4 linked regions of the Pelodiscus sinensis genome follow. The protein of the gene in region 3 interacts with the protein of the main gene of each other region in a biochemical or structural test. Links are inferred from orthologs where the notes say so. Each region holds a gene or a part of one and is shown on either strand. Other genes may lie near its edges. The genes, in order: ARFGAP1, PLD2, ARF1 and AGAP1.

What was found.
Region 1: the proteins of ARF1 (region 3) and ARFGAP1 form a complex in vitro, tested with the Homo sapiens proteins (2 studies listed by BioGRID, with this or other methods). The link is inferred for Pelodiscus sinensis from reciprocal best matches to the Homo sapiens genes ARF1 and ARFGAP1.
Region 2: the proteins of ARF1 (region 3) and PLD2 form a complex in vitro, tested with the Homo sapiens proteins (2 studies listed by BioGRID). The link is inferred for Pelodiscus sinensis from reciprocal best matches to the Homo sapiens genes ARF1 and PLD2.
Region 4: of the proteins of ARF1 (region 3) and AGAP1, one has a biochemical effect on the other in vitro, tested with the Homo sapiens proteins (2 studies listed by BioGRID, with this or other methods). The link is inferred for Pelodiscus sinensis from reciprocal best matches to the Homo sapiens genes ARF1 and AGAP1.

What each region holds. Positions count from the first base shown.
Region 1 is NC_134728.1:6,522,997-6,530,590, forward strand, and holds the start of ARFGAP1 (ADP-ribosylation factor GTPase-activating protein 1), read right to left. Parts: upstream 3,005-7,594; 5' UTR 2,859-3,004; intron 1-2,858. UniProt on the Homo sapiens protein: GTPase-activating protein (GAP) for the ADP ribosylation factor 1 (ARF1). Involved in membrane trafficking and /or vesicle transport.
Region 2 is NC_134734.1:8,308,644-8,316,407, forward strand, and holds the start of PLD2 (phospholipase D2), read left to right. Parts: upstream 1-4,776; 5' UTR 4,777-4,854; coding exon 4,855-4,893; intron 4,894-6,525; exon of another isoform or gene 6,526-6,663; intron 6,664-6,915; exon of another isoform or gene 6,916-7,043; intron 7,044-7,764. Other genes in the region: PSMB6 (proteasome subunit beta type-6), read left to right, coding at 2,253-2,384, 2,531-2,660, 3,232-3,376, 4,649-4,776.
Region 3 is NC_134712.1:252,866,609-252,873,851, forward strand, and holds the start of ARF1 (ADP-ribosylation factor 1), read right to left. Parts: upstream 3,015-7,243; 5' UTR 2,870-3,014; intron 1-2,869. UniProt on the Homo sapiens protein: Small GTPase involved in protein trafficking between different compartments. Modulates vesicle budding and uncoating within the Golgi complex. In its GTP-bound form, triggers the recruitment of coatomer proteins to the Golgi membrane.
Region 4 is NC_134717.1:63,192,224-63,199,872, forward strand, and holds the start of AGAP1 (arf-GAP with GTPase, ANK repeat and PH domain-containing protein 1), read right to left. Parts: upstream 3,019-7,649; 5' UTR 2,114-3,018; coding exon 1,279-2,113; intron 1-1,278. UniProt on the Homo sapiens protein: GTPase-activating protein for ARF1 and, to a lesser extent, ARF5. Directly and specifically regulates the adapter protein 3 (AP-3)-dependent trafficking of proteins in the endosomal-lysosomal system.

The sequences.
Region 1 (7,594 bases), on a different chromosome or scaffold from region 3:
GCTGGCAAAAAGCAGAGGACCCAAGTGCAGAAAGAACTTCAGTTCCTGATTCAGATAACATAGCTCCAGAGTGAGAGTCCATTACTCAAGAGAAAGCATTGCAGTGAAAGTTGTGACTGCCATGATCACACCAACTTTATAGTGCTATAGAAGTCATGCATGTTCACAGCAGTTCTGAGAGATAGACAAGTACATCCATTGTACAGATGGGGAAAGCGAGGCAGAAAAAGGTTAAGTGAATTAACCAGGGCTAGTGAGAGACCTATTGAAGCACCATTAGAATTCTAAAGTCCCTGGCTCCCAGTTCTGTGTTCAGACTATCTCCCCCTCCAGTATCCCTAGTGATCAAGACTCCCTCAGTGTTTATTTTCCTATGTGAATGTTTTTTCAATTATGGATTCATCTGTTCCAAGCATCACAACGTCATTAAAGTCAACCTAGAACTATAACAGAACTCTGACCTTCCATTATCTGGCTGTCTGTACTGATAATCAGTGCACAAAGGTCCAGAAGGGGGCAGTCTTTCTTGTGGCTACTACCTGGCACTGCAGCATTAGACTTTCCCATTCTTCAGTTTATCTGGATTGCTGATTATCCAATCAGGTCTCAGTCCCAATTAGATTGGATAAATGGGGTTCTGCGGTAGGCAAAAGCATGAGTTTTCAAAGTTGGGTCACAGGCCTGCGCAGGTAAGTCGCTGCTGAGCTGTGAGATATTTTGTTTATCTTAGCATCCATAGGCACAGAGCCTTGCAGCTCCCATTGGCTTTGGATCACTATTTGCAGCCACGGGGAGCTGTGCGCGTTGGGCTGCTGCTTTCCGCAGCTCCCCTTGACTGGAAACGGCAAAAGTCAATGGGAGCTACAAGGCTCCATGCTTATGGACACTAAAAAAAACAAAACATCTCGTGGCCTGCCAGCAACTTATGCGGATGGGCCCACAACCCAACTTTGAAAACCCCTGATCTACGAGTTAAGCCACAACCAATAGTAATACCCTAAGAGCTGGTTTTTTACATACACATTTACAGATACTGGTCATCTTTCAGAACTCAGCTGAGGAAACTGGCAAAGACAATTAAAATGTGTTATTTTGTTTGGAAGTTGGGCTCCCTAGGGCTTTTGCTACACTTCAAAGGCAGAGACACGCTATCGACTAATCAAATAGTCGATGTAAAATGCATCGACTAATCAATTAGTCAATATTTAACATCCCTATTAGAAATAATAAAACTAAAATTTCTCTCTGCCATCATCTTCCAGGCTAGTGTGTTTGCTTTTTCACCACAGTGGCCAGAAGTAGAATGCCTCAGCCCCAGCCCAGGCTGCCTTGGGAGATGGGAGTCAGAGCAGGCTGCTGTGTAGTTCTGCTTTTCCGCAGCTCGCACTGCTATGGTGAATGAGGGGGGCTCCAACCACCGCTGACAACACTGGCCCACTCAGGCCCCACAGACTAACCTGAGTATTGGGGACCATCCTGTCCACAGAATGGTTGGAGTGACCATCACAGGACCCCACCAAAGTGCAAGGCCTGGGAAGACCACCCCGAATCATCCTAATGATGGGACAACTCTTCGCATATCTCCCTCAAGCCACAGGGAATTGACAGCAGTGGCTCAGAGTGGTGGTGCTACCCTTCCCCCAAGGGGGCTCTTAAATTGCCTTGGGGCAGCAGGTGGGAAAACACAGGGGAGCGCAGGGGCCAGCAGACGGGGGAGGGTGAAGAACACATGGACAAACACACACGCCCAGGCCCGGTCAGAGAGGGGTACCCGCTGGCTCACTAGGAGGCTTTAAGGACAGGCCCTGGCCCGAAGGTAAATTGAGTTTGAGCCCCCTGCTGTACACCCAGATCCAACCCATTGAAGACGGTATCAGCACGTGGCCAGATTCGTAATGAGGATGGAGGCTTCGCCCCAGGAGGTTTCGGGGAGGGGGGAGCAGAAGAGTAAGGCTCTTCACAGGCGCAGGGGAGAGTCTCACTGGACCAGGGCTGCCTTTTTTTTTTTTTTTGGACCACATGATTTTAACCTTTCTGCCTTTCCAGGGCAAGATCAAACCATCAAGTGGGGGCGGGGGGGGGGAATGCAACTACCGGGGGGGTGATCCGGGCCCCACCTGCACGGATGGCTGGTCATGGGGGGGGGGCTGATCCGGGCCCCACCTGCACGGATGGCTGGTCGGGGAGGGGGGGGGGCTGATCCGGGCCCCCCCTGCACGGATGGCTGGTCCGGGGAGGGGGGGGGGCTGATCCGGGCCCCCCCTGCACGGATGGCTGGTCCGGGGAGGGGGGGGGCTGATCCGGGCCCCCCCTGCACGGATGGCTGGTCGGGGGGGGGGGGAGGGGCTGATCCGGGCCCCCCCTGCACGGATGGCTGGTCGGGGGGGGGGAGGGGCTGATCCGGGCCCCCCCTGCACGGATGGCTGGTCGGGGGGGGGGAGGGGCTGATCCGGGCCCCCCCTGCACGGATGGCTGGTCGGGGGGGGGGAGGGGCTGATCCGGGCCCCCCCTGCACGGATGGCTGGTCGGGGGGGGGGAGGGGCTGATCCGGGCCCCCCCTGCACGGATGGCTGGTCCGGGGGGGGCTCCCAAGGGCCAGGCGGGTCCCAGCGAAGGGACACGCCCCGGCGGCAGTGAGACCGGCCGGCAAGGACCTCACGTCCGGGGCTGCCTCGACCGACCCAGGGCTCGGGGGGGCTGGGGGGGGGTTGCAGCGGCTGCCGTCTCGCCCCGCCGGGGAGCCCCCCACCAGGCCCGAGGACAGGGGGAGGGGCGGTCAAGGCCCAGAGGAGCCCGCGGGGGGGGGGGGGGGCGCTGAGGGAAGTCGGGGCCGGAGGGGGGAGGGGCCGGCTCGGTACCTGCTGCGGCGGCCCCGGCTCCTGCTCGCACCCGGCTCCTCAGCGCGCAGCCGCCGCCGAACCCGGCGACGTTGCACGTTCGCAAAGCATGCTGGGCCGGGGAGAAGGGGTTAACCCCCTCGGGCCCGGCGGCCTGCGCGGCAGCTGGGCGGGGCCGTCGGACGCCCGAGAGCGACCGACGCGGCGGCTCCAGTGAGCCAACGACAGGGCCCGACGCTGCCCTCAGCGGGACTCGCCCCGCCCCCCTCCGCACTAGGAGCCCGCCCAGAGACTCCGCCCCTGGGGAGTTTGTCTGCACTGCAGCGCTATTGCGGGGGGGGGGTCCCCAATAGCTATTCACGTCCCCAAGGGGGGGTCCCCAGTAGCTAATGACGTTACTTGGGGGGGTCCCCAATAGCTATTCACGTCACTGGGGGGGTCCCCAATAGCTATTCACGTCCCCAAGGGGGGGTCCCCAGTAGCTATTCACGTCACTGGGGGGGGTCCCCAATAGCTATTCACGTCACTTGGGCTGTGTCTCGACTGCAGGGTTTTTTCGAACAAAGTCGCCTTTTTTTGAAAAAACTTCCCCTGCGTCTAGACTACAGCCGCGTTCTTTCGAAATTAAAAATCAATGTCTGGATGCTCTCTTTCGAAAAAGAGACGCCTGTTTGCAGTCAAGGACGCCTCTTTTCGAAATCGGCTTTTCTTTCGACGGCGGTACGCCTCATTTCACGAGGAAGAACGCCTTTTTTCGAAAGGGCTCTTTCAAAAAAAGGTGCTATGTAAGGCAAACTGCTTTTTCGAAAGAGAGCATCCAGCCTACCTGGGTACTCTCTTTCGAAAAAGCAGTTTGCTTTTTCGGAAGTACTGATTGTAGTCTAGATGCTCTTTATCGAAAGAAGCTTTTTCGAAAGTATCTTTCGAAACAGCCTCTTTCGAAAGAGGCTTGCAGTCTAGACGTAGCCTAAGAGACGCAGCTTGCATCGCTCAAATTGCGTAGCTCATTTCGACCTGCGGTGCAGTGTAGATGCACCAGTAGCATGGGGGCCACTGACGGACAGAAAAATCAGTCAGAGCCACACACAAGTGAAAAACAAAAAACGAGCCCCCACTGATGTGGCCCCCAACAGAGGAGAAAGATATTCTGCACATTCCCCCTTGCTCACCAGAGCCTAAGGGACCCCAGATTAGTAGATTTTGTGTGGTGAGGCAGCAAGGCGGCTGGAGCACCAGTGCAGGCTTCCCATTGCTGGGGGGTTCTGGGCCTGAGGTTCCCCACCCCGGCCACAGAGACCATATGCTACTCATTTTCAGTGCTATACCTGTTCCAGCCTTGATAGTAAATGGTCTATTGTCCTGCCATGGTTATATGGGGGATTAACAAGAATAACTCTTTTTACTATTAATGGTGGCTACATGCATAATCCTTGCCTTACATTAAAGAGAAAATAATGGACTCCAAATATGTGTACATTGGAGGCGGGCAATGAAACAAAGTAAATTCTACGGGCTCGTCTACATTGGCCCCTTTTCCGGAAGGGGCATGTTAATTTCAGAGATCGCAATAGGGAAATCCGCGGGGGATTTAAATATCCCCCGCGGCATTTAAATAAAAATGTCCGCCGCTTTTTTCCAGCTTTTAGAAAAGCCGGAAAAGAGCGTCTACACTGGCCCCGATCCTCCGGAAAAAAAGCCCTTTTCTGGAGGATCTTATTCCTACTTTGAAGCCGGAAAAAAGCGGCGGACATTTTTATTTAAATGCCGCGGGGGATATTTAAATCCCCTGCGGATTTCCCTATTGCGATCTCTGAAATTAACATGCCCCTTCCGGAAAAGGGGCCAGTGTAGACGTAGCCTATCTGTATAATTTGCTTTTCCAGTTAAGGACAAAGTGACTTCTTCTGATAAGTACCATTATTTTCTGGTAATATGAACTAATATGAAATGAGGTTCCCATTATATACACACTATATGAGAATCTAATTAGCGTATCAATCATACTTTTTCTATAATTGATTTAGGGCACAGTGGTTGGTATCAGCATTGATTCTGCAGTGTGTCTGATAGGTTTATTTTGCATATTCAATACTTTATGCTTGCAGCCTCAAGGGAGCACTGTTGTGCAACATTTATTCATATGCCACAAATGATGCAGCACTGAGGTATTAATACTGTCTCTATTCTTGGTTAATATACCAAAGAGGAACATTCTAACACTGTCTGGGCAGCATAATCTTCCAGTGGCAGCCTTGGCTGACTGAATCAAAATTGCCACTAATAATGTGGGAGCATATTAATGCATTGCTTGCTCTTTTACAGAAGATATAAGTTATGAATTGCATGGAACAATAAATAGATCTAGATGCTTACATTTGCACCATGTGGTAGCAATATTGCAACCCTTCCTAACATGAAAGAAGTCTTCACTCACACAATAAATCAGAAATAGGAGTAAGTACTTGTGTGAGGATTACAGGATCAGGGCCTTTCATTCAGTGGTAATGAGACAAAGCCAGCACTGGCTACGTCTATACGAGTTTTTCCAGCAGAAAATATGCTAATGAGGGCAGGGCCGGCTCAAGCCATTCCTGCTCCTCCAGCAGCGGGCGCGTGATACATGCGCGGCTCAAACCCCGGGCACACGGCACATGCACGGTCCCGCCCCCCAGCGCACTGTGCACCTTACAGCTGCAATCGGGCACGTGGTGCCTGATTGCAGCTCTAAGGGGCGCCGCGCGGTGCCCCTTATAGCTGCCATCAGGCGCCCCCCATAGGTTGGCGTCCTGGGCAGCTGCCCGGCTAACCCCCCCTTAATCCGGTCCTGAATGAGGGACTCATTAGCATAAAGCGTGATCTAATTTGCATTTTTTCTGCCAATCCATTTTTTCGCTAGGGGTTTTTGCGCAAAAACAAGCAGTGTGGCCATTTCCTTCATGCACAAAAACCCTTTTTTACGCAAGATCAGTATACCTCTTTTTTTTGAGGCATAAGGATCTTGTACAAAAAGGGGTTTTTGCACAAAAAGAAAACATCCACACAGTTTATTTTTGTGCAAAAACCCCTAGCAAAAAAATGGATTGGCAGAAAATATGTAAATGAGATCACGGCTTATGCTAATGAGTCCCTTATTAGCATATTTTCTGCTGCAAAAACTTGTAGTGTAGATGTAGCACTATGTCTCTCATACACAGCATACAAATGAATCAATGCAGTTCCCTAGCAAGTTTGAATTGCTCTGTTCCTCGAATCTGGGACAGGTACATAACCCCATTGCCATCTCTGAAATTGGAGACAGATATCTGTAGTGTGGGAGTAAGCAAACATTTTAAATATTAACATCTAGGACTCAGAAAAAAAAAGTCAAATTCTATCTTTCTTGGTTGACTGGCTACTAGTTGGACTTCAAATATGTATTTGGGTATTGTACAAGGGTATTTAGGCTTGAGGTAGATCTTGGATTGCACTTAAATTCAAAAAGTGATTTCATGCTTTAAAAGGTTGGAGACCACTGGCTTAAACTGAAAGGGAACAAGTGAGTATGTGGTCCCTCTTTTTAACATGTTTACGTAACTCAGGCTTTGTCTACACTACGAGGTTTTTGCGGCAGAGAGTATGCTAATGATCGACTCATTAGCATGAGTCGCAATGTCATTAGCAAATTTTCTGCCAATGCTTTTCGCACAAGGGGTTTTTGCGCAAAAATAAGCAGTGTAGCTGCTTCCATTTTGCGCAAAAAACCCTTTTGTGCAAGATTCCGGAGAGGCATAAGGATTTTGCGCAAAAGGGGGTTTTTTTTGCACAAAATGGAAGTGGCTACACTGCTTATTTTTGCGCAAAAATAACCTTTGCGCAAAAAGCATTGGCAGAAAATATGCTAATGACATCGCGACTCATGCTAATTAATCCATCATTAGCATACTCTCTGTCACAAAAACTTGTAGTGTAGACATTGCCTCAATGTAGTAAATCCAAGGACTGATCAGATGGGGAGATTTGCAATAAATGTTATCATTCAGTTTCTGCATTGTAATTAATTATAACTTATGTAGCAATAATAATAAAATCCTAACAACGAAACCTGGCACATTTTTAGCTTTCTGTATCTCTTCAATAACCTCCAAGTGCCACTGGTGGGAAATGTGATAAGACCTGGAGCTTTTTGCTCTACACTGCACCCTCTGATTTCCTAATGGCACTTCTTAGAAATAAAACACTCCTACTCCACGAGTGGTTAACTATAAGGTCGTTTACACTAAGCTGGCCTGCTTCTGGGAAGAAGGCATCTTAGAAAGCATTCCACGATGACTTCTCCCAAAATAAATATATTAATTAGAGTGGTTTTGTCTGTGTTTTCAAAAGTGCTGTACTTGTTATTGACACTTAATGCTATAGTTAATTATAGTAAGCACTTTTGGTCCTAATCCTGCAAAGACTTAACACAGTTAAATCTAGACATTCCAGCAGTCTTAATTATTTTCCCTGGGTTACTCATTTGTGTAAGTCTTTGCAGGAGTGGGACCTTAGTCTTTTAATATTATTTATATTACATGAGGGAAATAACAGAGATAAAAGCATGTTAAATGTTATCTTCCACCTGAAGAAATCTTAGTAGCCTTTAATAGAATAATTGCTTCCCTCTGATTGTACTGTATAACTTGCCTTGTTACTCCCTCTAGCCTCAAGTACTTGCTTATAGGTGATGCCAGTTGTTGAAAAATCACTACTTAGGATTGTATCCACACTTGCAAGATCTG
Region 2 (7,764 bases), on a different chromosome or scaffold from region 3:
CTGGGGGGGCAGTGGGCTGTGTTTTGGTAGGGTCTCCTGGGGGGGCAGTGGGCTGTGTTTTGGTAGGGTCTCCTTGCTATGCTTGTAAGAAGCATGGGGATCTTTTTCAGGGGAAAAGGCAATACACAGTGTTTACTGAGAATACAGTGGAGAAGCAGTTAACACACTTTATAAAGACACACACACCACACCACCCAATGGTGCATAAGTCAGTCTTACTGTCTAGACAAGGCTGAGTGAGGAGTCAGGGCTCCTCTGTGGCTTGGCTTGGCTTGAAGGACTGAACCCAGAGTTTCATGGCAAGACCTTCCCTTCTTATACATGTGAGTTCCTATTGGAGTCTATGGTTGTCTACACTGGTGGCTTCTTGTGCAAGAACATCTTGCCAAGGGTTCTTGTGCAAGAAGTCTTGCACAAGAAAACGTCCACACTGCCATGTGTGAGCTGTGCTTTTGCACAAGAGCGCCCATGGCGGTGTGGATGCTCTCTTGAGCAAGAAAGCTCTGGTGGCCATTTTAGCCATCGGGCTTTCTTGTGCAAGAAATCCCTGGTGAGTGTCCACACTGCCCTCTTGCGCAAGAGCTCCTGTGCAAAGAGGGCTTACACGTGTTAAAAAAGAGCATAGCTCTTGCACAAGGAGCCGTCTCTTCCATGCCATACTGTAAATTTCCTTTCGCAAGAGCAGGCGGGCAGTGTAGACACTCTGCGGATTCTTAGGCAATAACCCGCCAGTGTAGACATAGCCTATGGGTTTTGCTGCAATCACCCATCCTTAAAGGAGGTGTTAATCTTTGACCTTTGATAGTGATTGTCAGGCTTCTCATCGTTCTCTCTCACTCTTGGTGGGGTTTCTACCTGTCTTCAAGGTTGTCCATGCTGCCAATTTAATTCAGTCTCAAGACACAATGCAGGGTTCCTTATTGTCTTCAAAGTTTCCACTTCTTGATCATCTGCGCATCTGTGATGGCTTTCATTCACACGCCTTCTACTCACACCACACAAAGGTGCAGTTTCAGACAAGATCAATAATTACTGAAAGACACAACTTAGTTTGTGATGCAGACAAGGGTTACAACTTAATTTGTAATGCTAACAGGGAGCAAGGCCTTATAGTAACATTATCTACTCATGAGAGACAGAGAGAGAAATAGAAGCAGATAGAACTTATAAGCAAGTCATTATACATCAAATAATCAGGTTTTGACAAATCGGCTTTATCTACTCGCCCATGGGGAGTAGTTTTCAGCCGGTCACCCCGTTCACTGGCGGTTCACGCATGTGCAGTGCTGGTCTCGCACATGCGCAGTGCGGGGCTGGCGAGTGGTTTTTGCTGCAATCGTCGAGCCTGCAAATAATTATACATCATACCTAGTTTTATAATGAGGGCTCGACAAATAATACAGTCTACTTGCCCGTGGCGAATAGATTGTAACCCGGAAGAGCCGGATTCGGGCCGAAAAGTGCAGCTGGTGAGCAGGGCTTGCCACGGTTCGGTGGGCCCTGCTTATAACCGATACTAAAATATACATTTTTGCTACATCCTGAGGGAGGGCAGTGGCTGTGTTTTAGTATGATCCCCCAGGGGAACTTGGGCGGTGGCTGAGTTTTGATAGGGTCTCCTGTGGGGCAGGGCAGACTGTTTACAGGGGCCATGCAAGAGTCCTTTGCAGGCTCTGGATGCTCGCGATGTAAATGGTTATCTGGTTAACCGGTAAGCATCACCCTTAACCTGTGGGGGCTGGAGCAGCTTCCTTCCCACAGCTCCAGCCCCACGGGAGCTGCTTCAGCCCTGTGGGGCCCTCCACGGGTAGGGGCTGCTCCTGCCAGCTGGCCAGAGAACCCCCTGGCCTTTTTGCCTCACAGGTTGCACACTGGCTCCCTGGGAGTGCACCGGTGGCAGAGCCTTCTCCTGGGAAGCTGGACTGGCAGTCCAGGGAGGCTTCATTGCCTATTGCTTCATACTGCAGAGCCTGCAGCATATAATCACTGAGATTTTTAGCAGTTACACGGGTACATTTTAAAAACTTTTTACATTCTTACTGGAGGCTGGTGGTTACGAGGTGTCTAACCGATGGGGCGGTGAGGAAATGACACATCCCTGGCCCAGTGTTATTGTAGGGTTTCCTGAGTGCACTGGGGCCGGATGTGTCGTCTCCGTTGGCACCTGCGTCTCATGGGCAAGTTTGTTATGGTAGAGTGTCAGGGCGGTGGGGCTCTGTAGGGCACTGATCATCTGACTCCACCTTCCACAGCTCCTATGTGGCTAATCGAGTGACGGACAAACTGACGCCCATCCACGATCGGATCTTCTGTTGCCGCTCTGGCTCTGCTGCTGACACGCAGGCCATTGCTGATGCCGTGGCCTATCAGCTGGGCTTTCACAGGTACCTGCCCTGGGCCACATCAGAGCAGGCTCTCCATTCCCTGCCATCTGAGCCAGCCTGTCCCTGTGCAGGGGCTGGGCAGGAGCTGGCACCCCCTAGAAGTCAGTCCCTGGTTCCTCTCTGACTGTGGTTCCCTCCCCCTGCAGCATTGAGCTGGACGAGCCACCCCTGGTGCATACGGCCGCCAGCCTGTTCAAGGAGATGTGTTACCGCTACCGCGAGGACCTCACCGCTGGCATCATCGTTGCTGGCTGGGACAGGCGCAAGGGGGGACAGGTGAGCGGTGTCATCCTAGGGCTCAGCCCAGCAGGTGGAGTTAGGGACATAGCCCTTGGGGGCACGCAGAGTCAGGGTATCTCTAACGAGCACTGTGGGACAGGGAGTGGGGCAAGGGATCACTGGGGGCCTCAGAGGTGACTGCAACTTAGCACTGGATGAAGGGTCCCTGGGTAATCTGCCATCTCACCCCACAGGCAGCTGCATCTCAGCTCTGTGCAAGGGGTCTCTGTAGCCAGCTGCCCCGCCCCACAGGTGGCTGCATCTCAGCACTGGGCAAGGAGTCCCTATTAGGGATTTGAAAGTGACTGTGTATATGGTCACGTGTGGGGAGCTGTCTTAAAAGCCAGCACCTGGTGCACACCAGGTCATGAGGAGCTGTTCTCCTCCCCCCCCCTCCCCCCCACGCATAACCATGTAACCATTGAAACTTTCAGCAGTAACTCGTTTAATTAAATGCATTGTAACATCCCTAGTCCCTGTGTACCTGGCTTCTCAGCATCGGGTGAGGAGGTCCTGTGTAACCAGCCACCCTGTCCCAGCCATGATCTCTCCGTCTTTCTGCCCCAAGGTGTTCTCGGTGCCCATGGGTGGGATGATGGTTCGCCAGCCTTTCTCAGTGGGTGGCTCAGGTAGCTCCTACATCTATGGCTTCGTTGATGCCTCCTACAAGCCGGGCATGAACCAGGAGGAGTGTCTGCGCTTCACAGCCAATGGTGAGTAGACCCTCAGCTTCTCACAGCTAGGGATGTGAATGGGTAACTAGTTACCCAGTAAGCATTACATGTTGCCCAGGAGCAGCCCCTGCCTGCCTTAATGTTTAACTGATTAAATAATTAAACGGGATTTTACCCCTCTATCCTGGGCAGCTGGGACCCAGGCATCCAGGATGGCAGTGTGGGTTGTATGTCCATAGAAGGAGGTGTTACCCGCTCAGATTTCTCTATGCCTTCCACACTGTAGGGATACACACCTTTACCCAGTTCCTAGGGCTCAAAGTGCAACCCTGTTAATTTACACACTCACCCGTACCCAATTCCTAAGGCTCAGGGCACATCTTTCTGCGGGTTAGGCAGGATCTTTAGCCACTGAAAGAGCCTCACACAGTAATATCCGTATCCTCTATTTATTGACAATTCCCAAACAAGCAGAATACACATGCTAAGCACACAGTGTCATGCTCACCAATCCTGGTACAGGCAGACTTCCCCTGTTGGCCAGGGAAGGGGAAGATCTCTCTAGATCTTAGCTGCTGCAGTCACAGTCTGGTCTTAGGCTGTGTCTCGGAGGTGATTTTTTTCTTCTAGGTCTTCCCCCTTCTTCTTGGTGTTTCTTGTCTGCTTTTGGTCTTCCAGCCTTTTGCTTCTTTCCTTCTGCTTCTGTTACTTTCTATCTTCTTCTTGGTCTCCTTCTTGGACCTGAGTTTATATAATGAAACCTGAGTCCTGCTTAGCTATACCGTAACCAATTATTTTAGTATAATTTTACTAACCAATCATACCCCACCACCTTAATTGATTTACACCTAGCAAAATTAATTATACAGCAGACAGGAACAGTTAAACCAGACAGATCTCTCAGTCAAACAATAGGAAAGTGTAATGACAATGATCATAGAATGAGGATTCCACAACATTCTCTATTGATAAGTAACACCATTCTGTCTGGCAAGAAACTGTTTAAGTTTTCTTTACCCATCTTGAGATCTGTTTCTTTATCTGGTAACAGTGGAGGAGCTATCAGGACAAAATCCCCTCCTCACAGATTGGTGTGATGCTATTTGAATACAATTTAGATGGAATGTGAGGATGTGACTTGAGGCCTTACAGCTAATGGCTACTGCTCTTCAGTCTGGCTGCAGAAGGTGGATTTGGTTCAGGCCTTCCAACATGGCTACAGAAAAGCCATATTGTTACAGAGGGGTTGGCCCAAGGCATCTATGCTGTGCTTATCCCCCCCCCGTATGCTCTCCTCTTCTCCCCTTGCAGCCCTAGCACTGGCCATGGACCGGGATGGCTCGAGTGGGGGGGTGATCCGGCTGGCTGCCATCACAGAACAGGGCGTGGAACGGCAAGTCATCCTGGGAAACCAGCTGCCACGCTTCTCTGCTGCTTGACGGAGGACACCCTACACACCCTGTGCCACTGACTTATTAAACTATGGAACCCATGATGTGCCTCAATGATTCCACAGGATGCCTGGGTTCCCTGCCCAGCTTGGGGGAGGGGAGCCTGTAAGCCAGGACTCCTGGATTCTTTCCTTGTCTGTGGAGGGGAGCGGGGAGGCCTGGACTCGGATTAACCTGGTGCTGATATGCAGCCACTGCGGGGGTTAGAATGTGCCTATTCTCTGCCCTGCAGATCCAGGGGCTGGTCTTCTGCCGGGACTAAGTTGTGCAAAGGGGCCAGGCTGGGGTGGGGGCTGTTTACAACTGGCACCACTCAATCTTGCCCACCAGCCTCAGCCCCTACATGAGACCTGATGGAGCACATCTGGTGCCCTTCAATGCTGATACACAGCCCCTGCTACCCCAGTCATAGGCTCCCCCAGCTGTGCTGCTGACCCTCACTCCTGCCCTACAGCCCTTGCCAGCCTAGGAGTGACACTGGTGGGAGAAGTTTCTAGTTGTTGGGCTGTGGCATAGGGTGGGCATTTGGGGGCCACTCTGGCTCAGAGCCAGTGTCCCCCCAGCCCAGGTTCCTACACCAAAACCTCACCTGGCTCTGAATCTTCTTAATGGAAATGGATGTGGGGGGGGAATTAACACATCCTGCCTCCCACTGCTTACCGCAACCCCCTCCAACCCCATGTCCAACCATAAGGGGCCCTCTTGGGTGAGAGCTCTTTGCAGGGTTGAGAGTTTAGCCCAAAGGGCAGGGGAATCTGGGATGCTGGCTTAGGGCCTTTCTGTGAGTCCTAGTCTTTGTGCTGTCAGCAGGGCTGGTTGGTGCTGGGGGTCCCTGTTTCCATGCCAGCAGCTGGAATCCCTGACCATGAGGTTGCCCCAGTCATCAGCACATGAAGTCGATGGCCATGGGGCTGCCCCAGTCAGCATGTGGATTTTCTGGCCATGGGGAGCTGGAGCCAGGAGACTGGCTGGCACTGTGGGGCTGCCTCAGTCATTAGCACGTGGAGTTGATGGCCGCAGGAGGCTGGGGCCATGGGGCTGCCCTCATCAGCACATGGAGTCAATGGCTGTGATGGCACAGCTCAGCTGGTGGTAGGAGACTCATGCGTTCTGGCTGGGGCATCCAGCTTGCTACAGGTGGAGGGTGTGGAATGGGCTTGGGGGGCAGGTCCCCCCTCTATGGGATGACCAGGGGTTGCTGGAGGACAGGAAAGGGAAAAGGTTGGGTATCTTGGAGCAGGACAGTGGCTTGCTTGCAGGGGAAAGAGGGCATGGGAGTGGGATGCAGGGTGGGGGGGGGGGTCTGGGAAGGGGGCTTCTGGAGTAAGGGATGAATGGGTGGGGGGAGGATGAGAGATACTCACCTGTGGGCTGAGGGCCCCTTTGCTATGCCCAGCCCAGCAGAAGCACCGCAGGAGCCTCAACCCCATCTGCCCAGTGGCTTGTGGGGCAGAGCAGGGGCTCTGGCAGGGTCTGTGGTGGGGGTCTTTGCCCCCCAACTCATGGGGGTTGCAGCTGCAACCTCCTTCCCTCAGAACTCTCACAATCTGTGCAGGGGCCCTCAGACCCAGCCCCCCTCCCAGCATCACCCCAATGGCTCCCCTGTGCCCCATCCCTGGGCAGGGAACCTGGCACCTCCATTGCCCTGCCATTCCTTTCCTCTGTCCCCCAAAGCTACTTAATTCCTTACTTCCTACCCCAATCCGGGCCACTCAGTCCCTTGTCCACCCCCCTTACCTGCAGATCTCTGGATGCCTGGGTCCCGCCTAGCCTTCCCTGCTCTCAGCTATGGAGCTGGGTGCAGCTGGCTCTGGGGCGTGTCTGCCAGGCACTGCCTGCTGGCAGCTTCCCAGCCTCCCCAGAGGTACGGGGCTGGACTGGCAGGGGCTGCGGGTTGGGAGTGCGGGGCCCTGGCAGGGCTGGGGGAGCCAGGGGCTGCCGGGAGACGCACCCCAGAGCCGGGCCGGGCCTGACCTCCCAGCCCATGGCTCTGTCCTGATCCCCAGTAGAGTCTGGGGAGCGCTCAGGACAGCAGCAGTATTTGTTATTGTAGGGTCTCCCCGAGCAACGCCCCCACCATCCCACAGGGACCCAGCCTGTGGGGCGGAGTGTGCCCTGCTTGGGATAGGGCGGAGGCTGCTCTGTCCCGGGACTGGCTCCAGCCCCCTCCCCCACTTCCCTTCCCGGGCAGCGCCGCCGCCTCCCGCCCAGCCCGGCGCGCCGCAGGGAATCGGGGCCGGGCGGGGACGCCCCGGGTAAGTGTCCGGGATCCCCGTGCGGGGGAGTCTCTGGAAACTCCCTTCCCCGCCTTGCAGGGGTCTCCGGCCTCCTGAACCCCGCGGTGGGGGGACTGGACCTGCTCTCCGCCCATAACAAGGGCAGGCTCCAGTTGGTTCGTGGGAGGGGTCTCGGTTCTCCCCTGCCCCTTCCAGACAGGGACCCCCCTGCGTGCAGCCACGTTGGAGGCGGCGGGGGGAGCTCTGACGGTCCGCTGCCCCCCCCCCCCATCTCGCTGCCCCACGTGACTCGTAGCGGACTCCAAATCTCCGTGAACTTCTAGCACTTTTGTGACGGGGGCGGGAGCGAGGGGCGCCGGCAGGGCTGTGGGTGGGAGCGAGGGGCGCCGGCAGGGCTGTGTGTGGGAGCGAGGGGCTGTGGGGATGCGAGGCCCGGGGGCGGGAGCGAGGGGCGCCGGCGGGGCTGTGTGTGGGAGCGAGGGGCTGTGGGGATGCGAGGCCCGGGGGCGGGAGCGAGGGGCGCCGGCGGGGCTGTGGGTGGGAGCGAGGGGCTGTGGGGATGCGAGGCCCGGGGGCGGGAGCGAGGGGCGCCGGCGGGGCTGTGGGTGGGAGCGAGGGGCTGTGGGGATGCGAGGCCCGGGGGCTCTCTGCCAGCGCCACCCTTCCCAGGCTTAGAGGAAAGGAACGTTGTATAACTCCCCAGCCCCGCCTGCCCAAACCTGCAAGCTCAGGCGCCGCT
Region 3 (7,243 bases):
GTGCCCCCTCTCCCTCTGTATCCTATCTCCACAGAGCAGAGAAGGGGGTACAACAGAGCTTGAGATGGGAGTTTGTTGGCTGCTTTTAGGAGTGGTGCAGGGCTAACGCAGGGGTGAGCCTGCCTTAGCTCTACTGCATCACCACCCAGGAGTCACCTGAGGTTAGCAGTGCCCAGCTGAAGCCCACGTCCTGAAACCCTACCCCAGTCATAAACCCCCTCCTGCGCTATTCCTGAGCACCCCTGCATCCAAATGCCCTGCCAGAGCCTGCACCCAGAACCCTCTCCAACACCCTAACTGCCTGCCTCAAGGTCAGCTCAGAGCCCCTCACACTGCAAATCCATTAATCCAAGACCAGAGCCTGCATCCCAACCCGCTGCCCCTGCCTCGTGAAAGGGAGGGAGGATGGAGGGAGTAGGGGCGGGGTCTCAAAAGAAGTACAAAGGAGGCTGGGCAAGGGTATTTGGGTTTGAGGTAGATCTTGGATTGCACTTAAATTCAAAAATTGATCTCATGCTTTAAAAGGTTGGAGACCACTGTCTTACAGTAATGCAGCTAGCTGCACGCACCTCTAAGCTCTCTAATGTCACTACTCTAAGCAAAGAGAAAGAGCTATCCAATCCATAGGAATCATCTACCCCTAACAAGCAGTATTGACTGTCAGCAGCTCTCCTAATAGTACTTTCAACACCGGTGCTACAGTTTTATCACTCAGTGGGGTGGCCTATTCAAGCCACCAAATGACATAACTTATGTCAAGTTAAACTGTAGTGTAGCCAGAGTTAGTGTTGACCAGATTTGCCCACTGTAAAGAATCCAGAGTAATGAAACTTTCCACTAAGCAGGTGCAACAGAAAAAGGTCATTTTGGAAAGATGAGTGAAAGAAGAAACCTGTGAATGTAATGAGTTCTTCATGGTAATTATGCCCTTATTTATACCTATGAAACCTTAATACCAAAAAACAGTTTTACACAGGGGTGCCACAGTGAACAACAGTGCTGAGTCACAAGAAGGTGTAGAATCTAGTCTACTATTAGCAAAGCCCTGACTACATTTTGTCAGTAGAGTCAGCAAGTATGACTCAGATCTACAAAGACCTGAGTTAGAATCCACCATTTTTATAGTACCCTTTCAGATCAGCATGCAAAAAAACCCACCTTTCAGATCCCTTTGTATAAAGTTATTTGCTGATACAAACTGATGCTGAGATTAGAAACAGACATTACACCCAATTCAAGTTTGCTGTATTAAGAACCCAGAGCAAATGAGTGGATACCATGATCCACTCAAGCCATCTACTTATGGACACAACCTACCCTGCACCTGATTCTAAAGGAGTTTTAAAGAGTGTCAAGTCAGGTAGTTTCCTCACCTTTTCATCAAAAGTTATGACTACTGTAAGGGGTTGGGGAAGTAAACAACACTTAAACTTTGCAACAATCATGGATGTGCAAAGTAGAAGTAACAGCATCAAACCCTAACACTATTTTCAGAAAATAATTTTCCTTCCATACCTATTTAATAGTGTATATAATGGCACCATTTTGAGAAAGAAAAAGAATATTTGGAGAAAAATTCTAACTTCCTTAAAGGAAGAACACAACATGGAATGATCCAAATTTGAGTAAGACACATGATTAGAGTATTAAACTTCTGTGGCAAAAGCAGTCATAGAATGGTCTGCTACATAACCTTAGATAAATCACTCAACTTTAAGCTCTCAGTTTCTCATCTGTACAACAAGGATAAACAATAATGTTCTTCAAAGAGGGGCTCAGAGACTCAGTGGCTGCATAGCAAAGTCAACTGTTCAAATAATATAGCTATAGGTGAAGCGGATGGATACAAAATAAAACTTCTGCATGCACGCAAATCAACCTGCGGAATTTGCTTTGCCAGAACTCAAACTCAAAATACTGTGCCGGGATGATTTTATGCCACGATAGTTTTAATTACACCAAGATGGAGTCAACCCATTCAGGTCTCATGGCGAATGCATGCTGCCAATATAGAGCCCTGTACTACTGGCAAGGTGCACTGTGTGGGGGTTGAAACAAAAGACAGGACAATGTAGCACTTTAAAGACTAACAAGATGGTTTATTAGAGGATGAGCTTTTGTGGGCCAGACCCACTTCTTTCGTGGGACTTCCAAGCGGGTCTGGCCCACGAAAGCTCATCACCTAATAAACCATCTTGTTAGTCTTTAAAGTGCTCCATAGTCCTGTATTTTGTTCCAGCTAGACCAGACTAACACGGCTACATTTCTATCACTATTCTGTGCGGGGGCTGCTCCCTTCCCGGGGTGCCACGCATGGGCCGCAGATAGCAGCGCACAGGCCGAAGGCTGATCTGCTCTGCGCCAGCCGGGGGCAGGCTGCCTGCCTGGCTCGCCCACCCCACGCCGTGCTGAAATCCTGGGGCGGGGGGAAGGCAGCAGCTCGACGCCCCGCTGGGTCAGCCCCTCTCAGAGAGCCCCCCCCCCCCACGCTTTCCCAGCCCGCGGGCGCTCGGAGGGGGAGAGCCGGCGACCCCCCCCGCAGCAGAAGGGCCGGGGCAGGGCCCTTCCGGGCTGCGCTCCGCGGCCAGGCCGGGGCGGAGGGCGGGGCCCCGAGCGGAGTAGGGGGATGGGGGCGGACCCGCGGTCAGGCCCCGGCGGGGGGGGGGGGGGGGGGGAGCTAGGCCTGGCTCCCCACGGCGCCTCCCCCCGCGCGGCAGGGACACGCCAGCCCGCCCCCGCTGCCCCGGGTCTCCCGGCGGGCCGGGCCCCGCCACCCAGCGCCGGGCCTCAGCGCGGCCTGCTGGGCCCGGCGAGGAGGGGGGGGGCTACGAGCCGTTGGCGGGGGGGGGGGGGGCGCGCGGCCGCTTACCCGGCGCTGGGGTCTCCTGCGGGCTCTCGCTCGGGGCCGGCTGCCTCCTGCGCTGCGCTCCCGCTCCCCGCCCAGGCTCACAAGATGGCGGCTCGGGGCGGCCACGTCAGTGTGCCAGGGCGGCGCGGGGCACGACGGGTAAAGCCCGGGGGAGGGCGGGGCGCGTGAGGCGGGTGGGGGAGGGGCAGCGGCGGGCGCAGGCGCAGTGTGGGGAGCCCAGAGGGGATGCGTTGCGGGGCCGTGACGCCCTCCCCTGAGTGACGTGTCTCCCACTCGCCCCAGCCCAGCGCCCGCAGAGCCTGCTCAGGGGGCGGGAGCAGAACAGGGAATCCCCCCCCTGTCGCCCGTTCCCAGACAAGCACAGGCCATCCCGACCCATCCTGGCTGACAGCCCCTGAGGGACCTAACCTCCAACTCGCTCCTTGTGGAACCCTGTGACAGTCCGAACCTTCACCACGTCCTGCAGCGAGGAGTTCCACAGGTGGACGGCGCGCTGATGCGTGAAACCAACAACTTCCTTTGGTTTGTTTTAAACCTCTTCGTTTCCTTTGGGCTACCTCTGCCCTGCAACGCTATTGCGGGATACCGGAGTATCCCCAACTAGCTATCCCGCGCCTTCACAGCAAGCCCGTTCTTTCGGGCTCACTAGTCTGATAGCCCTGTAAACCTCGTTCCACGAGGAATAAGGGGCGTTTCGGAAGTGCCGGGTTATTTCAAAATTTGGTGCTGTGTAGACAGCGCCAAATAACAAAATAAGCTATTTTGAAATAAGGTCATGATAAGATACGCAATCTTATCTTAATAAGCTCAAATTGCTCATCTTACTTCAAACTACGGTGCAGTGTAGACATAGCCTTGGTGACCCTTAGTTCTTATGTTATGGGAACAAGTAAATAACTTTTCCTTATTCAGTTTTTCCACACCAGTCATGATTTTATAGACCTCTGTCATAGCCTCCCTTAGTCTCCTCTTTTTTAAGATGGAAAGTCAAAGTCTTTTAAATCTCTCTTTATACGGGACCCATGCCCAACCCCTAATTATTTTGGTTGCCCTTCTTGAATCTTTTCCAATGACAAGATATCTTTTTTGAGATGAGGTAGTACCTGGAAAAACTTAAAAAACAACAAATAGTCCCGCAGCATCTTCTAACAAAAAGTGTATATGATATCATGAGTATTCGTGGGCACAACCCACTTTGTCAGATGAATGGTGTGTAAGGGGTCCAGTTTTCAAATACCCGGAAGCCCTAATCATTGGCCAGTATATCATTATTCTTACTCTTGATTAGAACTCTTTTCTTATGCCTGTATATTTACCTTCCTCTGGAATTTCCACTACATGCATCTGACAAAGTGGGGCTTCACACAGTTCTTCTTCACACAGCGTGTTGTCAACCTGTGGAACTCCTTGCCAGAGGAGGCTGTGAAGGCTAGGACTATAATAGAGTTTAAAGAGAAGCTGGATAAATTCATGGAGGCTAGGTCCATAAAAGGCTATTAGCCAGGGGATAAAATGGTGTCCTTGGCCTCTGTTTGTCAGAGGCTGGAGAGGGATGGCAGGAGACAAATCGCTTGATCATTGTCTTCGGTCCACCCTCTCTGGGGCACCTGGTGCTGGCCACTGTCGGTAGACAGGATACTGGGCTAGATGGACCTTTGGTCTCACCCAGTACGGCCGTTCTTATGTTCTTATGTTCTTATGGCTTTGCCCACGAAAGCTTATGCTCCAAAAAATCTGTTAGTCTATAAAATGCCATAGGAGTTCTCGTTGTTCTTGCAGATTCAGACTAACACAGCTACCCCTCTGATACTTATCATTATCCTAGGTGCTGTACAAAATGATATGCCTTCCCCCAAAGAGCTTGATGTTCTTGAGTAGCCACTCTTCCATTGAATGAGGAAGGGCTCATCATGGGTTTTACTGTCATACCCATTTATCAATGCTGTCCATACAAAGCATGCTCCTCTTTCCTATATAGACTACTGACAGCAGAGGTGAAAGTAAGTGGGTGCGACCTAGCACACAGCTCCAGAAAGAGCTGGCTGAGCTGCTGCAAAAACCAGTTTGGAGCTATTTAAAGAGGTGGCAGGGACCCGAGTTGCAATAGGGCAGTACCTGTATAAATTTTTAGTTACTTTCACAGATAATTGGCAGGCACCTGTTAATAAGCTTCAAAGTTGTTAGAAGACATGTGCATCCACAAATTATGATTTTCAAACTTTCACAGTTTGGCAAATTCAAAACAGACTTTCATCAAGACAACAAAAGGCATTTCTGCTGCCTCAGGGCTATTTTCCTGCTCAATTTCAACTTCTTACCTTCCCCCTTTTCAGCAGTATAGTGGTTATAAAATGCTATAATTTTTTTAGTGGAGATAGTATGCTTTGTTGAAAGAACTGGTTTTTTTCTAGTTTAAAAACACTCCAAAAACAGAAACCAAGGCAGAAACCAAGGCAGGAACCAAGGCAGAAACCAAGTCTGAAAAAAAACCCTAGAGGTTTTTAAATCTCAGCTTGACAAAGCCTCGGCTAGGTTATTTAGTTGGTCCTACGTTGGGCAGTGGGCTGCACTTGATGACCTCCTGAGGTCTCTACCAGCTCTATGATTCTATGATTTAGGCCAGTGAACCACAGACCGTTGCTGTTGGTATGTTTTGGGTGTCACAGTGGTATTCCTGTTTCCCGCTGCTGCCATGAGATCTGGGCTTGCCAGTTGCAAAAACCGAATGTCAAAGCAGATAAAACAATGAGGAGTTGGCCTAAGTGCCTCGAAGTATGCAGAAAGAATAGGACCAGTGTCAGGCACGGGAACCCCCTGTGAATTGGAATGGCTACTCACAAAAATGCAACATCCTGAGGATCATGGGAGAAGGGGGTAAGGAAGTCGAACAAGTGTGGGGGAGTACAGGTAGGGAGAGGGAAGAGAGATTAACATTGTGGAGCATATCTAAGTGTATCACAGAAGAACTAAATCACAGAGAAAAAGGCATAGCGGTAAAGGAAGCAAAGGGAACATACTTTCCTAATATTATTCATTTAAGTAAACATTTTCTGTAGTTGTGATAGGGATGTTCTGTGGTTCTGAATGGGGTGGAGATATGAGATGGGAGGGGACAGGGTTCTCTATTAAAACATGATCCGTCCATTCTGTATTAAAGCTTGAGAAGGCCTGGGTTAGCCAGCCTCAATTATGTGTGCCACCATGGTTGCAGTTATAAAGATTAAGCACACAGAGAAAGGCAGAAGACTGGAAGTCATGAGATTAGATTACGTTGCTACCTTTGCCACTCTGTCTGTGTCTGACCTTCATCTTCCTGTACCTCAGTTTCTCAGATTACTTACCTATCTCACTTCAAATGATACAAATGACGAAAGTGCTTTAACAGCCTTAGATGGAAGATGCTCTGAACAAGTCTAAAGCAGTAATGCCAACCCATATGTTACAAAATCAGTGCTCCCTCCCCCCCAAAGCTGTTGAGATTGGCTTAAAAATAATGAATTTCTAAAAAAAAAAATCTTTGGGTTTATTTTTATTTATCTTCTGATTTGTAGGTCTTTAAGATTTACAGGTGTCACATTGTCTAGCTTTTTTCTGCAACTGTGAGGCTAGAACCTGATTTTTTAACAAATGAAAGCTAAGATTCTGATGTGCTCACATAAACTCTACTAATTGGGGTTGTTGATTATGGGATTCTCCATAAAAACATGAAAATCGGCAACACTGGTAGGCTACGTCTACACTGGCATGATTTTCTGAAAATGATTTCCGTTAAAAGCATTTTCAGAACAGAGCATCTAGATTGGCAGGATACTTTTCCGCAAAAGCACTTTTTGCGGAAAAGTGTCCGTGGCCAATCTAGAAGCGGTTTTCCGCAAAAAAGCCCTGATCGCCATTTTTGCAATCGGGGCTTTTTTGCAGAAAATACTACTGTGCAGTCTACACTGGCCCTTTTGCGCAAAAGTATTTCGGAAAAAGACTTTTGCCTGAACGGGAGCAGCATAGTATTTCCGCAAGAACACTGACGATCTTACATGAGATCGTCAGTGTTCTTGCGGAAATTCAAGCGGCCAGTGTAGACAGCTGGCAAGTTTTTCCTGCAACTGTCAGTCTAGACACAGCCATAAAGTGGTATTAATCAGAAAGTGAAATAGATCAATCTATGGTTTTATTGACCACGGTGAACGAAGTTCAAGCAAGTTTACAAATTGCACAACTAGAGGAAAACAAAATTTGACTTTCAAAACTCTCTTTAACAACCAAAAGTATTATTAAATAAACATTGAAATCAGTTAATAGCTTAATAGTTTTCCATGTCCTGGGCTGTGAACATGAGAGTAAACTTCAGGGGCATGGGAATGGCATGAGGCAGAGGTG
Region 4 (7,649 bases), on a different chromosome or scaffold from region 3:
TTAAGTAGGGAAAAAATTTAGTCCATATTAAGAATTGCAAATAATTTAAAATTTGCACTGATAAGTTTTACAATACTTGCATTTGGAGAAAATCTTACCGGAAATATGTTTTTGCTTAACCAGCATTGCACACACCTCTTTATAAAAATGGATGAAAAGCATTGTTTTTCTTACATATCTACCCCGCAATGTAAGAATGTTGTCGTTTCCCTATATCTCTTTGTACTGTTAAAACAATTTAAATTACAGCCTAAACATTTTGGCATGAAGCAAATATCAAAAAGCTGTGTGAAAAATTAGATTCCTTGCTGTGGTTATTTCAAACTCTACAACAGTTACAATAGCATTTACTGCAGTCTCACATGGACATATGTAATAGTTTATTAGCCTGGTGCTCGAATGCATAAGTTATTAGTTGTAGGCATTACTTGACTGTAATGATATCTACAACCTAAAGAATGCAGTCATTATTTACACCTGACCTGTTGGGTTACTGGATGCAATACTTTGCTAAGGATGAAAAGCTATACTACAGTTAACTTCAAAATAAAAACACCCACGTACACTCCAGAAACAGTTTCTATTGCACATGAAAAGTAAAACACTTTTGTCATTGAATGTACTTTGGTTGTAAGCTATTACTTTTTCTGAACCTCTTTTGAAACCTCTGAAATATTTGTAGTCTACATACTGATATAATTCATGTCACACTACATCAATAATAGCCTAGTAAAGTTACAGAAAATGGAATTACTGGGAAGTAGAAAAAATATTTTTTCATACTGAAGCTGCATAACTGAAGTCCAAGTTGATTTTAAATCTCTCTCTCTCTCTTTTATTCGACATCTTATTCCAGGGCAGGATTAAAAAGACGGCCTTAAACTGCTGTCGGCGTGGGTCCCAATTACACTTCTTACTCCCCAACTGCTAGAAAGGAGTCAACTATCAGAGAGCACTTGCCTGACCTAGTAACCTATAAAAGGCAACTCAGGCGTTCTTCTCCCCCCTTAGATAAGGAACAAGCTGCACTTGGGCCCCGTTCCACTGCCCAGGCAGTGACCAGAGCTCCGGGAAGGCGCTGCCTCCCCGCTCATGCCATGCGCCTTTCTCGGGAGCGGTGCCCTCGTGTACCTGGTGGAAGGTGGAGGCAGCCTCCGGCTGCTCCCGCTCTAGCAAAGGAAGGAGGGCGCCTGGCGCTAGTCTAAGAGCAGCAGGAGGGGCGGTGGCTTCCCGGGCTCCGAGCCTCCCTCCGCCCCAAGCCCCGGACAGAGAAGGCACCTTTGCGCGGGGAGCCGCCGATGCTCTCGCTGCTGGACTGCGCCTCCGCGGCGGTTCTGCGCAGGCTGCTGAAGTAGCCGCGGGCCCGGGAGGCGCGGGCGCCGGGGCTGCCGAAGGGCGTGGAGGTGCCGGGCCGGCGGGTGAAGATGCCGCTGAAGAAGCGCAGCAGCCGGTCCGGCGGGCTGGCCCGCGCCAGGCGCTCCGAGAGCCGCTGCAGGTCGCTGTTGTCCAGGGTGCGGTTCTTGCCTTTGCTGCGCTCCCAGCGCTCCAGCGGCTCCGCCTTGCTCAGCACCTCGCCCACGTCCAGCGTGTTGCGCTTCTCGGCCGGGCCGGCCGGCGGGGCCAGGCAGCCCGAGCTGCGGTGCCGCTTGGCCCGGGACAGGGCCCGCGCCAGCTCCCCGCCGCTCCAGTGGCGGAAGCTGAAGCTGCGCCGCAGTCGGCCCGGCTCCGCCAACCCCAGCTCAGCCTCCGCCGGGCGCGCCGCGGGGCTCGGCCACCTGCGGGCCGGCTCGGGGGCGAGGCGGCGCCTGGCCACCTGCAGCCGGCCCAGCTCCAGCTGCCCGGTGCTCAGGGTCCGGAAGCGGCGGACGCCGCAGGGCCCGGCCGCCAGCTCCTCGGCCTCCTCCTCGGCCTCCTCCAGCAGCAGCCCGGCGCGGGGCAGGCTGGCGGAGCCCGGCAGCTGCCCGCCCGCCCGCCGCCGGGCCCGAGGCGGCTCCGCGGCCGCCAGCGGCTCCTTCTTCACCATGGTGACGGAGATGCGGTAGACGGTTCTGCGCTGCGGGGCGCCGCGCTGCATCCCCTCGGGGGGCGGCTCGCTGCCGGCCAGCAGGTACATGGCTCCCCTCAGGCCGCCGCCGCCGACCCGGCCATGCCCCGACGGGCGCTCCGGGCGCGCCACGCAGCCAAGTCGCTGGGCTGGGCTCGGCGCTGGCGAGCAGGCTTCACATCACCGAGCGCCGCCACCGCACGGGGCTCGGCTCCATGCGCTCCGGCTCCTCGCCCCCTCGGCAAGAGCCGGCCGCGCCGCCTGCATCCTCCCGCCGAGCCCGCAAGGCGCGCAGGAGAAGCGGGGCTGCCCCTCACAGCCCCGGAGCCGGAGCCGCCTGCGAGTTCATTGTTTACAGGGGTTGCACGTTGGCAGAGCTGGGTCCTTTCCCCCAGTCACTCCGCGTCTCTGCCCTCGCCGATCGGAACCCCGGCGCAGTCCTCCCGGCCGGCCCTGCCCTGCCCCGGCTGCAGGCGAGGGAGAGCTTTCAAACGCAAAGGCCCGCCGCCGCCACTTGCACAGGGGCAGAGTAACCCGACCCCCACGCAAGCAGCCCCTCCAACCGCAATCCGCGCCCGGAGTCTCCCAGCCGCTCGGCCAGCGTTCGCAGAGAGCGGCGCCTCAAGCAGGAGCGGCAGAATTGAAGTGCCGGACTGGATTGCTGCTCTCCTGCGGACTCGCTAGACCCAAACACACCCGATCCCCAGCAGCAAGGGCTTTTCAATGGAAAGAAGAGGAGAAAAAACACTGATCTTCCTTCCTTAGGCGGAGTAATACTTCAAGGGAAAGTTACTCATCCCATTGCCCTACAAGACCTAGCCCCACCTGCAATCATTCCTCCTGCACTTGTTGATAGCCACAGGATCAGTCATTTAAAAAAACTGAGGGCCACAGTGGCATATGCAGCTTTTCACCTGTTGGTCTCCTGTTACAAACCAGTTCCTGTCCATGGTGTCATTATCCAAAGAGTTAGAATTTGTCACATACTCTCAGTGAACTGTCACAGGTCCCAACTGGCAGTGAAGATATTCTCTAGGTTATGTCTACACAGCAGCATTATTTCAGAATAACTGATGTTACTCCAAAACAACAAAGTCCACATCTGCACTACAAGCGGTTGTTTTGACATGATGACAAAATAATGTCAAGCGGGAGGACTTCTTACTCCAACTCCTGTAACCCTAACTGTACGAGGAATAAGGAAAGTCGGAGGAAGAGTGCTCTCTCTCTTGGACTTCTTGCTGTGTAGACAGTACCAAAAGCCAAAATAAGATATTTCAATTTAAGCTACGCAATTGACATAGCTCAAGTTGCATCACTTATCTTGATGTGCTAGGAAGCCAAAACAGGAAGGGATATCTAGAATGAGCTATATTCTCAACCCTGAAAATACTTCCAAGTTAAGACTAAAGCTCACTAGCAGGTAAAAAACTGTGCTAGAACTTCAAGTGGTTCTACTCATGGTCTATCTGGTTCCGAACACTAGAACTGGAAGGGACCTAATGAGGTCATCAAGTGCCATCCCTTGCACTCAAGGCAGGACCAAACACCATCTAGATCCGTGGCATCTAACCATTTCTGAAACAGTAGCCACTACAGTGACTACTGCTATAGCAAACTAGGCACACTCAACGAGCCAAATAGCCCCAGTGTTTAGACCAACTAGCCACACTTAACCAGCCAAATAGCCACATCTGGCTAGTGGCCAGTATGTTAGACACCAAAGCTCTAGATCATTGCCACAGATGTCTGTCTAACCTGCTCTTAAATATCTCCAGTGATGGAGATTCCACAACCTCCCTGGGCAATTTATTCCAATGCTCAACCACTCTGACAGTTAATGTCCAACCAAACCTCCCTTGCTACAATTTTAAGCCTGTTGTTTCTTGGTGAACAGTTACTTCATTTTCCTGTGTTGTCAAATCTGGCACCCTTCACAAGTAACACATTTAGAAAAAAAACAGAGTAAACTAAAGAAGCTAAGAAAATTGTATTAACACCAAGAAAGGAAACCAAAGTTTTGTAAATGATAGCCCCTATTGTGCCTTCTTTCCATCTAAAATCAGAACAAAAACCAGATACATCTATTCAGTGATACAGTCACCTTAGCATTGGGCACACCTCATCTGCGCACACACTACTTCAACTTCAAACAAAGGGAATCTGTATAACACCATACCTATGTTGTTAATGGCCCCCTGTACTGCAACACATCTAACTCACTGAAATCCACTAACAACTTCACATGAGAGAGTGAATTATGGCCACCCATCCTTGCTTTTCCATTTAACTTTTTTTGCAACAGTTCACTAACTTTTACTGCTCATTTTGCTGCCAGATAGTAAGTATCTGTACCCAAATATTCACAATTTCTTCAGTCTTTTCTGCATGGATGTTTGCAGCTCCACTCCTAGAGTAAGATAACGTTTTGAAATCTGTATGATGTTTTTTAGAATATTGAAAGTGCCACTTGATCCTAAATGATCATTTTCTGTAAGTGCAAAAGTTACAGCACATTTAATCATTTCACTCCACAAACCACCTAACCATTATCAATTTTTAGTATTTCCAGACACTACTATTTCTAGCTGTTCAGGGCTAAAGTTGTCCTGAACTGTACAGTATTTGTGGAAGCACACAATACCTCCACCAAATAATAATACAGTGTCACAAAATATTAACCTAACACTAAGACAAGGTGGGTAAGGTACTAATATATTTTATTGAATGAACTTCCATTGTTGAGAGAGGAGCTTTCACCTTTGCATGGTTGAAATACCTCACCCGGCTGGAATCTCTAATACCTTGATACCAACACAGCTACACCTTGATACCAACACAGCTACACCATCACTGCACACAACCTCACTCTAAGTCACTGTAGTATTCATTATCATTGGCTATTGTAAATTATTCCAAAAAAACTCCATGCCACAATTTCCACTGTGCTGTATCACAGAAGTAGGTTTCTTACTATGGAGTGGAAGAATCCATTTCTGTTTTAGATGACTGAATCTTCAGTGGAATGACTTTCAAGCACAATCCAATAGTCTACAAGTGTTCTTTCAACCTCTTTAAACACACTATTCTTTTCAAAGAAAACATAGTCGTTACATCCCTTCTAGTTTGTATATTTCATCATCTATTCAGAAATCACACTCCTTCTCCCCACCAGAAAAGAATAGTAGTTCCCAATGCAAAGGATGGCACATGCAAAAAGCTCTTGTCAGTGTATACACTTGGAAACCTGCAGACAGGTTTTAGATTTTTTTACAATAGAAGTTATCCTATTTCAATCAAATAAGCTTGGTTCTTGTGGGTTTCTTACAATCTGCATCATTTAGAGTAGTTCAGATACCATTCTATACAGAAAAAACACAATTCCTTTCAAAGAGACCACCAGTGGAGGATGGACAAATTTGCTTTTCAGACTGACTAGTCATGCATTATTTACCATCCTGAAACTGACATAAGCTTTCTCTTAATGCAACTAAGTTTGCTGGCATTCAAATGTGTACCATCTAAATGTGCTGTCATTGCTTCCCTCAATTACTGGCAAAGGACTTACCCCATATCATTACTAACTTTTCTGGGACATTCTTGAACATATAATATTTCACCTCAGCAATGTTCTCATTCTAAGATTACCAAAACAGGAACACATATTAGTAACATTTACCTTTAGAATTCATACATACAAGTATAAAAACTGCTGTATACCACAGGTATGAAATCTAAATAAATGTCACTCAACCAAAAAGTAAGATGTCCAAAGACTCTGTACGTACTAAAAGCAAGAAATGCCAGGAAAATATTGTTTGTTAAAGGAGTCTCTCCAGGAAATTTTTTTCAAATTAAGCAATACTATAAAACATGTTAACTATTTCATAAATATTTATAGCGAATACATAAAGCATCATTTCTTTTGGCATGTTAACCAAGTTCAAGCGAAGTCCATCAAGGCACAACTTTCAATTTAGTATGTCAGTACAACAGAAATACCGGTACTTTAAAAATTATCTCCATAGAGGGCAGGACATTTCTGCTGGCTTATTCACACATCTCCCCTTCTATCAAAATCATGCTGGACTCATGTTTTTATCATAAAGATAACTTGCTTTATCTTATACTTGAAGGCGTGCAGACTCAATGAGCCAACAGGTCTCCTTTAGCTTCTCTTCAAGGACAAACAGCCACAGGTCAAACCTCTCTAGTCCAGAACTCTCTGATCCAGAAACAATCCTGCGGTCCACAATTATTTTAGTCAGTCAGATATCTACTTTTCATAGGTGTGGCCAAGTTTCCTGTGGTCCCATAAAATTTGTTCACAGCCACCAGAACTAGCTTTCAGTGTTTTGTGCTGTTATTTAGCTCTAATTTACCCCAAAATGACCTCTAACAGCCCAGTAAGCAGGAGCAGTGTTGGTAATGCTGCTAGACAATATTGACCTCCTATGGTCCAGCAAATTCTCTGGATCAGAACCGATCGAGTCCCAAGGGTGCTGGACTAGAGAAGTTCAACCTGAACTAACATTCACTGCAAAATAAACTGCACTGATACTTTAAAATATTAATGCGCACAATCACAATACAAACAATAGTTAACAATATTATAGGTGGATATTAATGTGCTTTTATTACATATTAATTTATGAAACATCCATTATATGCTACTTGTCAATAACTCCAATATTACATTTGTTTAAACAACTATTTATTGACGAGACTAACTGCACAGTATTGTAGTGGGCCTTTTTCCTGCCACAATCCACAATACTTCAGTCCAATCTTAGTAAAGTAACAGCTCATGATACTTGCCTGAATTCTAACTTTAGTCTCAACTCTTACTTCACAGGAGAGGCCCAGAATCAGAATACAGCAGGTCAGCCTCAGGTAGATCAGCAGACCCATATGAAGATTTCCGTGCACCTCTCCACAACGTGCATGGCCTCTAGCCAGTGTCGTCAGCCTCCCACTTTGAGGCACGCAACTGGGTTTAGTTTTAAATCACTGCTGAATGAGCCTCTAGTGCACGTGACTTTTACAATGTTTAACATTAATAGTAACATTGCTAAAACACAAAGTAGTGGCATCGTTAGCGGCCAGTGCCACAGATACAAGCTGTTTCTAGAGCTGAGTTCAACTTCCTCATCATCCCAGGTCATCAGAGGATCATATTTTACAATTATTTTTAACTTGGCCTTTACTCTTTTCCATTTGAGCCTCTGGGGAGGATTAAAAATGCTCATAAAATTATCCTTAATAACAATTAAGACAATTTACTGGTTTAAAGGTTGCCAGACAACCTATTTTTCCATTTAACAGCCCAGAAAGGATATAGCAAATGTTAATATATTTCCAGCCAACAGCTTTAATTCTGAAAAACGCTCTGGATGGACAGACTCCTACATACACACGAAACTCCTAGCAGAGAATTTTTCTCTGCTCTTGAGCAAAGTCTTAACACCTCTTCTAAAAACGATCTGGCAGACTGCAATCATTCTGAAATTCCCAGTCGTAAGCCACAAGCCAGTTATTGAGACTGTTTCTAAAGATTTGTCATTTGTTTCTGTAACAATGCAAAAGCCACACCCTTTAATACAGC